Caenorhabditis elegans: one gene and its partners. The protein of the gene in region 2 purifies or fractionates together with the protein of the main gene of each other region. This does not show direct contact. Each region holds a gene or a part of one and is shown on either strand. Other genes may lie near its edges.

The links.
Region 1: the proteins of B0035.3 (region 2) and Y94H6A.2 fractionate together in Caenorhabditis elegans (co-fractionation; one large-scale study listed by BioGRID). This does not show direct contact.
Region 3: the proteins of B0035.3 (region 2) and lpr-5 fractionate together in Caenorhabditis elegans (co-fractionation; one large-scale study listed by BioGRID). This does not show direct contact.

What each region holds. Positions count from the first base shown.
Region 1 is NC_003282.8:2,728,207-2,733,369, reverse strand, and holds Y94H6A.2 (DUF4781 domain-containing protein), read right to left. Parts: upstream 3,079-5,163; coding exon 3,072-3,078; intron 3,017-3,071; coding exon 2,733-3,016; intron 2,617-2,732; coding exon 2,491-2,616; intron 2,435-2,490; coding exon 2,306-2,434; intron 2,259-2,305; coding exon 2,014-2,258; intron 1,469-2,013; coding exon 1,253-1,468; intron 1,201-1,252; coding exon 966-1,200; 3' UTR 948-965; downstream 1-947.
Region 2 is NC_003282.8:11,313,102-11,317,391, forward strand, and holds B0035.3 (Macro domain-containing protein), read right to left. Parts: upstream 1,898-4,290; 5' UTR 1,867-1,897; coding exon 1,821-1,866; intron 1,774-1,820; coding exon 1,534-1,773; intron 1,487-1,533; coding exon 1,365-1,486; intron 1,318-1,364; coding exon 1,114-1,317; 3' UTR 977-1,113; downstream 1-976. Other genes in the region: DnaJ homolog dnj-2, read right to left, coding at 1-43, 93-190, 238-436, 481-694, 758-875; pfd-4 (putative prefoldin subunit 4), read left to right, coding at 2,107-2,193, 2,244-2,375, 2,449-2,610.
Region 3 is NC_003284.9:11,059,911-11,065,486, reverse strand, and holds lpr-5 (Lipocalin domain-containing protein), read right to left. Parts: upstream 3,179-5,576; 5' UTR 3,166-3,178; coding exon 2,677-3,165; intron 2,629-2,676; coding exon 2,407-2,628; intron 2,360-2,406; coding exon 2,234-2,359; intron 2,188-2,233; coding exon 1,797-2,187; intron 1,748-1,796; coding exon 1,485-1,747; intron 1,428-1,484; coding exon 1,287-1,427; 3' UTR 948-1,286; downstream 1-947. Other genes in the region: lpr-4 (Lipocalin domain-containing protein), read right to left, coding at 1-137, 186-299; lpr-6 (LiPocalin-Related protein), read right to left, coding at 3,857-4,046, 4,096-4,229, 4,497-4,633, 4,676-4,837, 4,924-5,098, 5,284-5,493.

The DNA of each region.
Region 1 (5,163 bases), 8.6 Mb from region 2:
GGTAACACGTGAAGCGCTCTTTTACATGAGCTTTTCGCGCGACTGCCACTTCATACATACAATTTTCTATAGAATACTGATAGCTGAATAAATTTCCTTCAATTTGACCTAAAATTTGTAATGTTTCCCAATAAGGTGTAACCTTTATCACCTCGGCAATTTGACGAACCCTTTCGGCAAAACAAAAAAAAAGTTTTGGCACGCGGCACTTCCCACACAAACGCACATCCCACGCACGCCAATAATTTTCAGATCTATGATTTTTATGTTAAATTCAAAGTTAAAGAAGTGAAGAAGCGTTTTTAATTGTTTTTGTAGTATTTGAAAATTTTCTGTATCGACACTGGCGCCTAGAAAAAACCTTTGAATATTTCATGAATTCAACTTTGCGAAAATTACTCAGTTTTTTTTGTCTTCACAAGGTGTAACGACCCACAAAATCATCCGAGCTTAATCTTCTATTAAAATTCTTGAAAGTCAGATCAAAACGTTCCCCGAAAAATACTAAAATGAGTTTTCCTGCATACTGCTGCCGCCGCTCACATCTATCTTTCTGGCGACTGTGTCATTCAAGGCTTCTATGTCATTCAAACTACTGCCACAGTCATACCATGACAGAACTTTTTTGGATTTTTGTTTTCAAAGAATCTCTAGACCAAGAGCATTCTTTGAACTATAAAAACTTGTAAGATACTTGATGGGTTCCTCGAAAAAAAAAAAGTAAAAATCCCGCAGAATGCCGACTTGCGTGCCATCAAGAACGTGATCTCAAAAGTTCGGAAAGCCTGCAGCGATGCGGTTAGGGAAATTTTAAAAATTTTAAACGTTAATCTGGTCAGTATTTCATGGAGATCAAAATTTATACAAATTGATGTAATAACTCTCGCCACACGTGAAGTTACAGAGCTGCAAACGTGTTACCATACTTATGGCGCAGAAGAAAAATCAATCAACAATAACTTTATTTAGGATACACCTGCAAATATCCAAAACGATTTACGATCATAGTTTTTTCCCAAAAAAGTCTTTTCGAAAAATCCCTCAATCAAGGCGCCGGGTCTTTTTGAATACTCATTTAAGTACCAGTTCACCGGTCCGAAAAAGATAGTAGTGTTGCGCCGAATGATCAACACAAGTCCACATTCATCGCCGAACCGTTTGCAAAGCTTTTCCGCATAATCAATCAATTTGAATCTGTAGCTGAAAAAATGTTTGGATCAAATGTTATGCCATTAAGCCGCAAAATACAAACTCGTATTCCATTGGAAGGGCAGCTTGCAGCTTTCTTTGAAGGTTCTCCTCGTGCCTTTTGCAATCTTGGGTTCTGAGGCTTCGTAAAACAAAAGCATTGCACCCGTTTCGATTGAAAGAAGATTTAAAATTGCGTTTGAAATAGCTGTATGAAGTGAATTGGTACTCCTCAGATGAACCGTCACAGAAATCGTAGACGATCACGTAAAATTTGTGGCTGAAATATTTTGGAAAATCAATTTGAAATCTGACTGTTTGCGATATGGTGTGCAAAAAATGGTTACATTTGTAAGTGGATGTGAGAAAAATTACTGACGTTCACAGCAGGGCTGTCTTTTTTTGAATAAATTTTCGGAAAACGCAGATTTTTTGGCTTTTTTGGTCTTTCGGGACCAAAATCTTTTATATTTTTTCACAAATTAAAAAAATTCCAGAAAAAAATTGGTTGGCCCTCAAAAGCCTAGAAATCATCAGAAATCTGCAAAAATCAACATTTGGAGGAATTTTACGGGCTGCGAAAATCGTGAAAAATGCATTGAAAATTTTTCAGAGCGACTTCTTTCCAGTTCAAAGTGCCTAAATTGACCGGGGTTAAATTGGAATACTTCCTTTGTAAGCCTAATAATGGAAATACTATTCACGTTTTAAATAACTTAACAGATAAAATAATTGCTACCCCGGTCATAATTTAATTTGAAAAAAGTAAAGTTATAATACACAATTACCCTTTTATGTCCCTTGTCAATTTACAAAAATACTCACTTTGTCATGATCTTGCCCAATTCTTTAGTCAAAATATTTCGTATATTTTCACTTCCCTCATTATTGTCTTGCACATTATGGATTAAACTTAAGACTCCATCGTCCCAGTACGAGTGATCTTGACGGTATTCTTCAGCCCATCTATTCATTTTCAGTTGTAATTCTTCGGTTTGCTTCTTTAAACGACTCGGTCCAATCATGTTCTTATCGCAAAACATTCCATTCTGGTACGTCTCCAAAATCAGCTGAATATGATACACTTTATTTAGTGAGGGATGTAGTGAGTACCTACACATTGGGCAAGCACTCCGTCGATTATTTTTCTCCATTTTTCAAAAGTTTCCGTTGGTCGAAGAGGATCACAGTTCATTGCCATTTTGAGAGGATTCGTTTCCTCCTGGTCGAGTTTTATAATCATTTGCTGGAAATTTGAAGCTGTCTAACATTGAAATCTTGTGATTCCTTAATAAGTCCTACCTCTGCAATCCACAAAGGTTTATTATCCGTCACAGCGCCACGAAATAGCTCTTTTGTGTATTTACAAGGATTGTTCATCGTATCCTGCATGTATTTCATCAACGTTTTGATTGTAGCGACCTCATTCTGCAAAATTTTGAGTAAGGGTAAAGGGTGAAGGTTAAAAAGGGTCGTGATTAACTTTTTTCCTGCGCAGAAGGCTTCGTAACCACACTTTGAACCAATATCTATTCCGAACATACCATGTAAAAGTGAGACGTTGTTATAAATGACTTAAGATCACCGAACAACGCGTCCATCTTATGTGACAGTTCCCCAATCTTCTTGTCGAGCGTTTTGAGCTCGCTGAGTATCAGCTCCGTTGATTTGTCATCTTTGTATGCAGCCATCGTAACATATGCACTAACTATAGCACCGCATGCACAAATCGCAGTTAAATGCGGAACCACTGCGGCGGACGCATAAGCCCCATGTACTCCTAGGCAGCCAGTGACCACCGAAATAAATCCCGTCGTGTAGTTTACAGCTGGAAAATTGAGAATTCGATTCAATTTCATATTATTTTAAAAATAGAATCTTACCAGCCATCTTGAAATATATAACTGTCTCCAAATAGAAAAGCAATGATGTCTTATCTTTCTTTTCTCTGTTCTTGTTTTATACTCTAGTGCTACACATTACACGCATGCCATTTTTCTTGTGGAACTAAGTATGAGGAATACTGACATTTTCTTTATCAGGAATGCTAGCGTCTTCCTCATAAAAATTCGGAAAGGGCAAAAATGTCAAAGAAAATTATGTGTTGAAAATACTCAAATATGTCAATAGTACCAAGTGACTCATTTAGGGAACACGATTTTTGGCATAGTAAGTGAGTTCCGAACTAAAGAACTAAACTATAAATTCTGATTTTTTTAAAAGATTTTAAAAGAAAGAAAAGATTTATTCACAAAAAACATGTAAAAGATACATTAGTTTTCCTTGAAGGTATTAGATAAAATATTTATTTAAAAAAAAAGAAATCGCAAAAAGATAAAATGTCGTAGTTTTTATTACAATGGAACGGTTTTGAATAAAAACTACAAATATTCATCGAACACCAGCAATTATCTCAAACTTTTGACCGTACCAGTACTGAAAAAAGTCGCCACTACCAAAAAAAAAGTCAGAACCATTGCCCTTGAAACATCTCTCAATACAGTCACCGGGTCCTCTGGGATAATCGTCTGGGTCACAGTTTACCCAACGTTTGCGAATGTTTCTATGTTTTCGAATAATCCCCACAAAGCCACATTCGGCGCCGAACGTTTCGCGAAGACCACGCACGTACTCACGAAGGTCATGAATGCTGAATATTGATTTAAATTAATTAATGGTGTTTTCTTTAAATAAATACCGTATTTTCCGTATTAGTTCATATTGCATTAACATTAACATTAATTGTCTTCAGTTAAACACATTATAAAAGTATGGTAGTGGCGACTAATATAGAAAATGCGGTACACTGTACTTACTACGACTGTGGAGGTGTTGCATCGAGCATCCTTCGAAGAATCTCCAGGAGATTATGCGGAAAAGCTTTGCGAACGGTTCGGCGATGAATGTGGACTTGTGTTGATCATTCGGCGCAACACTACTATCTTTTTCGGACCGGTGAACTGGTACTTAAATGAGTATTCAAAAAGACCCGGCGCCTTGATTGAGGGATTTTTCGAAAAGACTTTTTTGGGAAAAAACTATGATCGTAAATCGTTTTGGATATTTGCAGGTGTATCCTAAATAAAGTTATTGTTGATTGATTTTTCTTCTGCGCCATAAGTATGGTAACACGTTTGCAGCTCTGTAACTTCACGTGTGGCGAGAGTTATTACATCAATTTGTATAAATTTTGATCTCCATGAAATACTGACCAGATTAACGTTTAAAATTTTTAAAATTTCCCTAACCGCATCGCTGCAGGCTTTCCGAACTTTTGAGATCACGTTCTTGATGGCACGCAAGTCGGCATTCTGCGGGATTTTTACTTTTTTTTTTTCGAGGAACCCATCAAGTATCTTACAAGTTTTTATAGTTCAAAGAATGCTCTTGGTCTAGAGATTCTTTGAAAACAAAAATCCAAAAAAGTTCTGTCATGGTATGACTGTGGCAGTAGTTTGAATGACATAGAAGCCTTGAATGACACAGTCGCCAGAAAGATAGATGTGAGCGGCGGCAGCAGTATGCAGGAAAACTCATTTTAGTATTTTTCGGGGAACGTTTTGATCTGACTTTCAAGAATTTTAATAGAAGATTAAGCTCGGATGATTTTGTGGGTCGTTACACCTTGTGAAGACAAAAAAAACTGAGTAATTTTCGCAAAGTTGAATTCATGAAATATTCAAAGGTTTTTTCTAGGCGCCAGTGTCGATACAGAAAATTTTCAAATACTACAAAAACAATTAAAAACGCTTCTTCACTTCTTTAACTTTGAATTTAACATAAAAATCATAGATCTGAAAATTATTGGCGTGCGTGGGATGTGCGTTTGTGTGGGAAGTGCCGCGTGCCAAAACTTTTTTTTTGTTTTGCCGAAAGGGTTCGTCAAATTGCCGAGGTGATAAAGGTTACACCTTATTGGGAAACATTACAAATTTTAGGTCAAATTGAAGGAAATTTATTCAGCTATCAGTATTC
Region 2 (4,290 bases):
CCATGCGAGAGTATCGTAGATGGATTCTCGTTTGTAGCCACCCCTAAAATGTAGCTCAAATTATTTTACGAAAAATCTCAAGAATAACTGACGTGACATCAAGATTATCAATAATTATTTGCTTGATAACTTCATCATTGTCAACTCCTTTGTTCTTTTTTAATTTTCCATTCCGATCCATTTCCAGCAACTGAAAGCTAGATATTAATTACAGTGCAAGCTTAAAAATCGACCTACGCCTTTATCAATTCCATCTTTAATTGCCATATTGCGGAATTTTCCAACACCGGTTGCATATTCGATTGCTTCTGAGAACTTGTGTTTTGCAGAGAGGAATTGGAAGAGTGAAATGATAAGAATAGTTCCAACAATGACAATTCGAAGATCTACTTTTGGAGCGGCGCGAAGACGATAATATTGATAGTAATTGTAGAATCTTAAATAAAGAATATTTAAGTGTTCATATTCAGAGCGTCATACCTTTGATCAGGATGATCGAGATAATAGTCGTAATTAGTTTTTGCTTCATCATCCTTAAGTGTTTCATAAGCAGTGGCAATTACTCGGAAACGTTCTTCGGCGAGAAGCTTCTCTTCCTTATTCTTGACTCTATCTGGATGATGCTTCCTAGCCAGAGCTCTATATGCTTTAGCTAGCTTCTGCTTATCGAATTCCTCACGATTGACTTCGAGTACTGTAAATATGAATGCATTTATAGTTTTAACGTTTTCAGATCTTCATGAAAGTTTTGACTCACCATCATAACAGTTTTCTAATCCACAATAGAGCTCTGGAGCAAATCCGACCGATTCACATTCCTGGACGAAAAATGATACTAGTAAGAACAAGATGGGCGCCGCAATTGCTGAGCGCATTCTGCTGAAAAACAAAGATTGAGAAAAAATTTAAAAATGAGAACTGAAATATGAATCACCGAAAATCGGAAAATGAGAGAAAAACACAAATAATCATAGGTGAAATGTGACATGTTTATGAAGCAATCAACACCGGAAACAATGTAAACATTACGGATCAAAACCGATCTGATAGTGAGATTATGGAGTCAACATAAAATAAAAATAGTCATGTACAGTAAATGTGCAATAGAAAGTTTTAGGCGATACTTTGATCCTTTGATGCAGCATAATCACCGAAATACTTATTGTAATGCTCGTTGTCAATGTCAAGGAATGTAACAAGTACAATCCGTTCAATTGTATCATTCTTTTCAAGATACTCGGTCAGGAAATTGGTGACGGTTTTAGCGGCATCGTCATTTGGATAACCGTACACACCAGTAGAAATGCAACAGAAGGCCTGAAAATATATAATATTTGCAGTTATTTTTCAGATGAAACACTTACAATACTCTTCATCCCGTTCTCGATAGCAATATCTAGTGATGTTCTGTAACATGCAACAAGATTTTCACGCCGTTCATCTGTGACATTTCCATATACTTGTGGACCAACTGTGTGGATTATTTCTGAAAATTCCAATAAAATACGATCAAACAATGCTATAAATACTTACTTTTGATGTGATTAATATTGCATCCAGAGGTAATGACAGCATCTCCGACAGCACATCCGTTGTATTGCTGGCATTCTTCCTGTAGTTGCTTCCGTCCAGCTGCACGATGAATTGCACCATCAACGCCACCACCTCCAGCTAATCGACTGTTTGCTGCATTGACAATTGCGTCGACGGAAAGTTTAGTAATATCTCCATCCCAGACACTGATACGGCCCAGAACGTTTTTGGCAACCTTGACTGAAAATTGTGTACTATTTTAGAATTATGAAACGCCTGAAGCTTACATTTTTCAAAGAGAGTTGGAATTTCTGAAATTTTAGCTGCTGCCATTTTTTATCAGCCTTAAATTTGAACTGATAGTGACTTAAAAACAAAACAAATTAGGATAAAACAACGCGTGGAAGAAATTGTTCACGAGGACTACACGCAACATGGACTAGAATTTCGTGCGGCCGTGGCTGAGTTTTCTTATTTTTATGTTTCTCTCTCCAGAATTTTCTGTTTAATATCTTTTAATGTTGTTTCTTCGTTGTTTCTTTAATTAAATCTTTGAATTAAAAATAATTTAGAATGCCGGAACACACGAAAGTTTCTGCTGAAGACCAAGCGCTTCTCAATAAATTCGCTCGGTCATACCAAACACAAACCCAGTTAAAAGTACGTTTTTTTTTAAATTTTACATTAAAGTTTCTCTTCTTTAATTTCAGGCAGACGTTAAAGAAGCTAAAACACTCATTGACAATATCAATGAAGCAAGTGATGAAATTTTGTTGCTCGATGATGAGGATTCAGCATCAATTCCATGCAGAATTGGAAGCTGCTTCGTTCATTTCAATGGGGTGAGCAGTTTTTTTTTTAATTTGAATTGAGAATTAACGTTTGGTTTACACGAAAGTAGTGATTGGTTTTCAGGATAGTCTGAATGAGCATTTGGAAGGAAAGAAGACAACAGCAGAGAAGGTTTTGTCTGAGAAAACCTCCGAGTTGGATGCAATCTCAGCGGACATGGAGCAAATCAAGAAGGTTTTGTACGCCAAATTCGGAGATCAGATCAATTTGGACGCTGAAGAATAATCTATAAATTCTAATTTCTTATTTTGCTCGATTTTGTATCTTTTCCGTTGAAGCTTTCATATATAAAAATTATCTCAATTTAAAAATTGCTTTTCTCACCTTTTTCACAACGTGTGCTCACTGTTCACTGTTTCCGCGTATTTTGCTGATGAATTTTTTCGACCGATTTTCCTTATCACGAATGGCACCACCCACTTGTGGGTCACACCAGATCCTAAATATCAATATAGTGGACGGGAAGAGGAAGGTTTTTTCGTGTTTGGTGTTCATTTTAGTTTACATGTTTTGTTTCCCATTGCTCTTTATTTATAGAGGAGACGCTCGCCCACGTAATATAATAGCATTTTGGAAAAATCCATTATCTTTCAGACAATCTTATCATGATTTCCACAATAGACTGGCTAGAATGTAGCATTCTAAATATTTGAATTTAACAGAAAATATTCAATTTCTCTTTAAAAAAATACTTGAAAATTAATTATATTCCCAAATTGGCAACATTCTTTCCCGATTGTCTTTCTGTCCATTTAATTTGTCTGCCCTTTCTTTTCTCACCTTTTTTATCCGTTTCTTTCTTTGTCACCTCCGAAGTTTTGTCAGCATTTTCCGTTTTTTTCTCCTCATATTTTGTTTGCACTTTTCACCTTCTAAAAAAATGATCGGCAGAGACACAAATAAATGTGGCCATTCGTGTGCTCCGTTTTCCAAATGAAACCCGATTGGCAGAATTTATGGTTGAAAATGCATAGTTATTTAGGAGTTGCAAAGAACAGTTTTCATTCTTCTTTTTCTTTGTCTTCTTGTTAATTTGGTAAACTGATCAGACGTTAATCAAATTGATAAACTTTCAAGTTCAGTGATTTTTGATTTGTTTTCTGAAAACGAAATTAGTTTTTTCTCTGATAGACTAAGTCTTCGAAGAATTCATCTTCCAGATAAAATCCAAAAAAAATGTGTTCCAGAATATCCTAGTCGGTCAACTAAAAGTCAAGAACCATAGATTAAATCTAGAGTTACAAAGTTTCGTCTCTTCTCCAGAGTCAAGTTACTCGAGTTTTTATGTTTCCTAGAGAAATACATTGTTTCTTTTCATTGTCGATCAATGTCGCCCAGAGAACATTATTTGTCATGGTTACCACTCGCACACACTACACAATTTCATTCAGTCATCATTTTTTGTGACCCGAGAAGATTTCAGTAAATATTTTCATGTTTGTAAAGAGACTGGCGCATCCACTTTTCTCTTACTGTTTCTTTCTTCTCTCGCTGCCCTGTGAAAAAAATGGAAGTGGAGTAAAAAGTGACCGATTTATAGTGTTGTTCCAGTTGTTCCAATTCATTTATATTGTAGACTGCGGTTCGCTACTAGGTATATGATTCGAAAGGAAAAATTACATTTTTTAGTGCTAGAAATTAACATTATTCCATTAAATGTAACTAGCTGAAAGTAAGCAGTTTATTACTCTGCCAGTAAAAAAGAATTGCGCAGAATCATTATGAAGTACATCAATATATCAATTAACGTATTTCTTTTTGATTTTTCGTTGTATAAATGAAACAATAATCTCACTTTTAAATAACATTTATGTGTATCTAGATGGTTTACTTTGAAACTTGTAGTTTCTACTATTTACCTCTCAACACGAGTAATTTTTGTGAATCAATGTTCGTCATTCTCAC
Region 3 (5,576 bases), on a different chromosome or scaffold from region 2:
CCAAAGAAAGAACTTGGCACTGGGGCACGACGAATATCCTTTTCATCTCTGGTACTGAATCCAAGTTTATCCAAAATTGATTCAGCCACCTCTCCAACTTTCACAAGAGCTTTGTCGTCAGTTCCTGGTGGTCCAATCTGAAATTGAGCACTCTCAAATAACTGAAAAAAATACAAAATGTTTACCTTTGCAGTTGGGTCGATTCCAGCGGGCAGGCTATCGAATGTTGGTGCATCTGGTGCAGCGAGGAAAACTCCTCCAATTACGCAGGCGAAAACAACCGCCGTCAGCCGTTGCATCGTTAGAACTTCCAAGTGTGGGCTTTCTCAATGGGCTGTATCGTCCGGGTGAGATATATGTTGACCTCAAAATGTCCAGCGTCGATAGGCTTTCACTCTCGTTACGTGCCAATTTTCGCTTCTTCTTTTGCGTCTCTTCATGCAAGATTCACTGGACTGTATCCGCGAATCATTGCGACAGTCACCACTTTCACTTGACCGATATTCGCTTTTCCCCGTACCCCTTTCTAATCCTCTGGATTGAATTACTCTGATAGAGATAGAGAGATACTCTCAGAAATAGGAATGATGAAGATAAATGTGACAGGCAAACACTGTTCCAGAGTTTGACCTGACCTAATTGAAAAATGAGTAAATTGATACAAGAAAATAAGAAGAAACCCCTTTCTCAATAAGTCAAAATCGGCATTTTTCGTAAACCAAAGTTTTAAGTTCTAAAAAATGACTTTTCTGAATAATTTTATAACATGGTTGTAAGAATGATCTGGGCCGAGAAATTGAGAATATTCATTAATTGTATTTAATCCTTTATGATCAATTATAGAAACATCAACTCTGATTTTTCGACGATGCCATTTTTGTTAAGAATTGCGCATCCGTTTAATAATTGTACTTCTTTCTTCATTACTAAAGAAATGTTAAAAATAGATAGTTTAAAAAATTTATTAACTGCATATTATCAACATTATTAGGACAAGTGTGAAAGACGTAGAAAAAATATAACCGAAATTATAAAAAGGAATAAATTATTCGAAATTCTATATACAACAAGGAATGCACGAGCCCACGGCCTGATTTTTTGTGTAGTTTCTAAATGAAAATTAAAGAAAAATGCTTTGGATTGTAAACTAAGACTTAAAAAGATGAGGTAATCACCCGAGGGTTGAAAGAGAAGAAAGGGCAATGAGAACGGGATGATGGATGGAAAAAAACCATATTAAAAATTATTAGGAGTTATTAGAAATTATTAAGATGGTGGCGAGTAAACTATCTTCCTTGGTTGTAGAAAAGATGTGGTGGGAAGATGCACATAGTGTTGTCGACTGGAGCAACAACATTAAGCAGGCGAGAGATTCCATTCACAATTCCGCTCTTGTCCAGGAACTCATTGACAACTGGTTCGTATTTCTAAAATAATATCAGTTGAATTATCACAACATAATCACTGTTAATTAATTTTCATACCTGCTTGAAAATGCTAGTATCTCTTGCAAATACATAGACTGGATAGTTGCAGTTGGTGGACATGACAACATATTCATATTCTCCCTGATGATTCAATGGTCCAACGCTAAGAATGTGCACAGTCACATCTTCTTTGTTGGAATTTGTTCTGAAGATGAGTTCTCCCTTTCCTTTCACCAAGGCATATCCAGAAGAGATTATTGGCTTTCCATATGGAGTTCCATCAGTTGTGTACTCATAGACATCTACGATTGATCCGGTGGCTGAAAAACAACTAGTTAAAACTGATTAAAATCTATTAATGCACGTTACCTTCTCCATTATCACTAAGTTTTTTGTAAGAAACCATGCTGCAAGGGCCAGTAGATACTGGTGGAGAGTAGATAACTTGGTACCATTGTCCCATAAGAGGATCGAGTTCAAATTCAACCGGGATTGGTTTTTGTGTGCATAGTGGAGAGTTTGGCTTGATGATAAGATCTTGAATCATTTCAAGATTGCTGCTGATGGCGGCAGATTGAGCTGGGGTAAGGACAATTGAGCCATTTTCACTCTTCTCAATTTCAGTTCCATTGGACTCGAGTGAACCACTGGAAAGAGTCTTGAAAAGCATATCAGTCAGAATGTTGCTACCAGGTTTTGGGAATGGACTGTTTTCTCCCGAAAGGAGGTTGGATACAGCCTTTCCGATAGTGTTCTTTTCCTAAATTAACTCGATTAAGATGGTTAAAAAGAATATGAAATCTTACTGGAGCGGTTCCGTTCCCATTTTTGGCGTTCTCCTTAGCTTTCTTTCCTCCGAGCTTGATAAGATTGAAAATAGTTCCAATCAATCCACCTCCAGACGAGTTTGAGTCTTCGGAAAGACCTCCATACTAAAAGATAAAAATAAATGTTCGAGAACGCTGCGAAAAAAATTTACCTCTTCTGTATTAAGTTCATCTGATTTAGAATCAATTGAGTGCGAGACTTCAGATACTGAAGATGGAGAGCGACGAACTTCTGAAGTTGGAAGGAATCCACCTTCTGGGACAACTGGTGCTGTCTCAAACACTGGGTTTCCGCTGGAGTCTCTTGGAACCGAAACTGCCTTGTTGAATGCGTCAACTAGAGCAGTTGGTTGTTTTGCCAACTTCAAGAATACCTAAAATACAAATTTTAAAACGGACTGACAGAAAGATGATTTACGTACATTTGGAATTCCTGCAATTGAGTTTTCGACAGCACCGGATCCTTCTACCTCCTGGTTTTCCTTTTTGCCTGATGGCGAACGACGAATGTCTCCGAAAGAAGTCAATGCCTTATTGTTGTTTGCAACGGAAAACCCAGACCCAAATCCTGGTGGAAGTGCTTGGCCAGCGGGAAGCTCTGGAGCAGTGAAGAATGACTCAAGTGTCTTCTCTAGGCTTGAAACAACGTGTGTTGGCTGATTTCCATTTTGAACTGGACCTTGTGGGGCTCCAATCTCGAACGTCTTTTCCGGGAAAAGGCCTCCTGGGCGGGGTCCTAGCAGAGAGTCCACCAATTCGCGAGCATGCCCATCAAGTTCAAAGTAATTGGAAAACTCTGGTGGCACTGTTGGTTTAGGAGCATAACGTTGTGCTGATGGAAGAGCAAAAGCGTCAAGTTGGGCGCCGGCAAGGCCAACAAGACAAATAGAGAGGATGCCTATCGAGAGCATTCTCGATGGATGAAATGAATAAAAGTGTGGATGTTGTAGAAGGTGTGTCGAATGAACCGGGGTCATCCGTCCAGTGTTTTCGCTTCTCTTTTGTCCAACCTCCTTCGCCGATTTCTTTCCTCTCTGTGTTCTCTTTCTTCTCTCGCCTCTTCGAGTTTATCTTCTCAAATCTCAAATCGTGTCCTCGTTTCGCTTGCTAGTTGCAGCAAGTGTATGTTTCTCTAAAGACAGTCATACATTTTCGAATTGCTTTTGATACGGTACACAGGCCCGAAAATCTTATTATCGGAAGTTTGAAGTTCGGGAGTGAAACTGTCAAATGGATGACGCCGAAAATCGGTAAAACGGAAAGGAGGATAAACTGAAAGTAAACGTTGTACAACCTTCAATATCAATACTATTGTACTGTAAGCGACTGCAAAACTACTGTAAGTCTACTGTAAAACACTGATTCAAAATGAACTTACAAATTTATTGAATTAACTTTTCTTTTTTCAAAAGACAATGAGATACAACGGAAGGAACACGGAACCGTGTCTTATTAATTGCATTATTAATATTATTATTAATACATGTAGACAATAATTAAAGGATCACAGATTGATAATTAGTGCGTGAAGAAATTGGAAAGAGATTATTAAGAGAAAATGGTAGAAGTACTGGAAAAATGGCGAAAAATGGTAGAATGAGGTCACTCGCTACGGCTGGCTGGTGGACCGGCTGTGATTCCGGCGGTGGCTTGTTGCAAAGCTTTTGTTCCAACTAGTCTTTCCAAAGTACGCTTTGGGTCGCGGATCATGTCGGCAAGTGGCATTCCGGAAAGAATTGGGTCTGAAGTTCCATTCTTGTTGCGCTCGTTCATTTCTTGGTTTTTCAAAACTCTGAAAATAAACTATATTTTCTGTCTGTTACATGAGTAAATTACATTACCTTCTGGCAAAGACCTCCTTTTCAGAAGGCCATTCGCAGTCTGGTCCTTGGTAAATTGGCTTTGGGCTGTTCCAGAAGACATTTCCTCCAAATCCGTGTCCATTCATGAACTCAACAACCTCCTTGTTGTACTTCTGTAAATGATGTTATGTTTGCAAATATGTCAGACAATTGTCACTTTCGCTTTTTTTCTTTCCCGATTTCTGAATCCCAAATTCCATAATCCAATAGACACGGATTGTAATCGGAGAAATAATTCAAAATAAGGTCAACCGATGTTGATAAGCTAACCCAATTCTCGCCTCCTGTCAATCACTGTGTTCATCAATCTCACTAGTGCGCCCTACAGGAGAGTAAAAACAAAAAACACGCGCCGCAACGCTTGATGTTTCGCAACTGACCTGGAAAAATACAAGAGGATCTCTAGCATAAACCATGAGGGAAAGTCGGTTAGCATCAGAAGCAATCAAGTATTGGAGTGGCTCGGTAGAATTTCTGGTGCCATTATTGAAAGATGGTCCAGCTCCGATAATGTAAACTGAAAAGCAAGTTTAGTCAAAATTAAATGTTTTTCGCTCACATTGTCTTGGGTAGAAGTACTCTTCAGTGTACATCCAGTATTGTCCTGGTCCAACTTTGTTCATGTCTCTTTTGTAAGTCTCAATTGGTCCAGTTTTTGAAACCACTCTGTAAGCTTCTTGCATCGAGAATCCTTCTTCACCCATTATCGGATTAGGAGAGACTGCAAGTTACTTGTTATTTGAGCTTAGTTTATGATTCGAACAGGTTCAAAAACATGTTTTTGAGACTTTAGAAAGATAAACTTACAATAAGCAACTGGGCAGAACATTGTGGTGCGGACAACATCAAAGTTCATAGCAGCCTTGTACATCTGGAACCATTTTCCCATAACCATCTCCGCAGGGACATTGATGGTGTCAATTTTGCTTTCGAGCATTTTTCCAATTCCTCCAAGAATACCAGTAATGGCTTGGAAATCCATCTGAATTACAATTTTTAATATTATGCTGACACATATTCAAAACTTGACGTAAGTTACTAAATATCATAAATTACAAATGTCATTTAACAAAAGAAAGATAATTTCCAATGTTCTGTATCTTATTTAATTAAATTGAATTTGAATCCGAAAAATTCGACTAGTTTGTTGTTTTAAGGGATACTTACCGCATTTTCTCCAATAGCGGTAACTCCACCAAGGAGACAGAAGACCAGTGCAACATTTCGAGACCACATTATTTTTAGAAAGACACCGGTCACTACTAGAATATTGACCGTATATGTAGTGAACAGAAGTGACTGCTGCAGTTGCTGGCTGTTGCGATGGACGCCTTCTCCTTTCTCTTCCTCGACCTTCATAACCTGAACCCCGCCCATTAATCTTCAAGCTCCCCCTCTTCTCTTCATTTTCGGTGCCTGTGTGTTCCATGTTTCATGTGAAACTGTCTCATCAAGCAGTA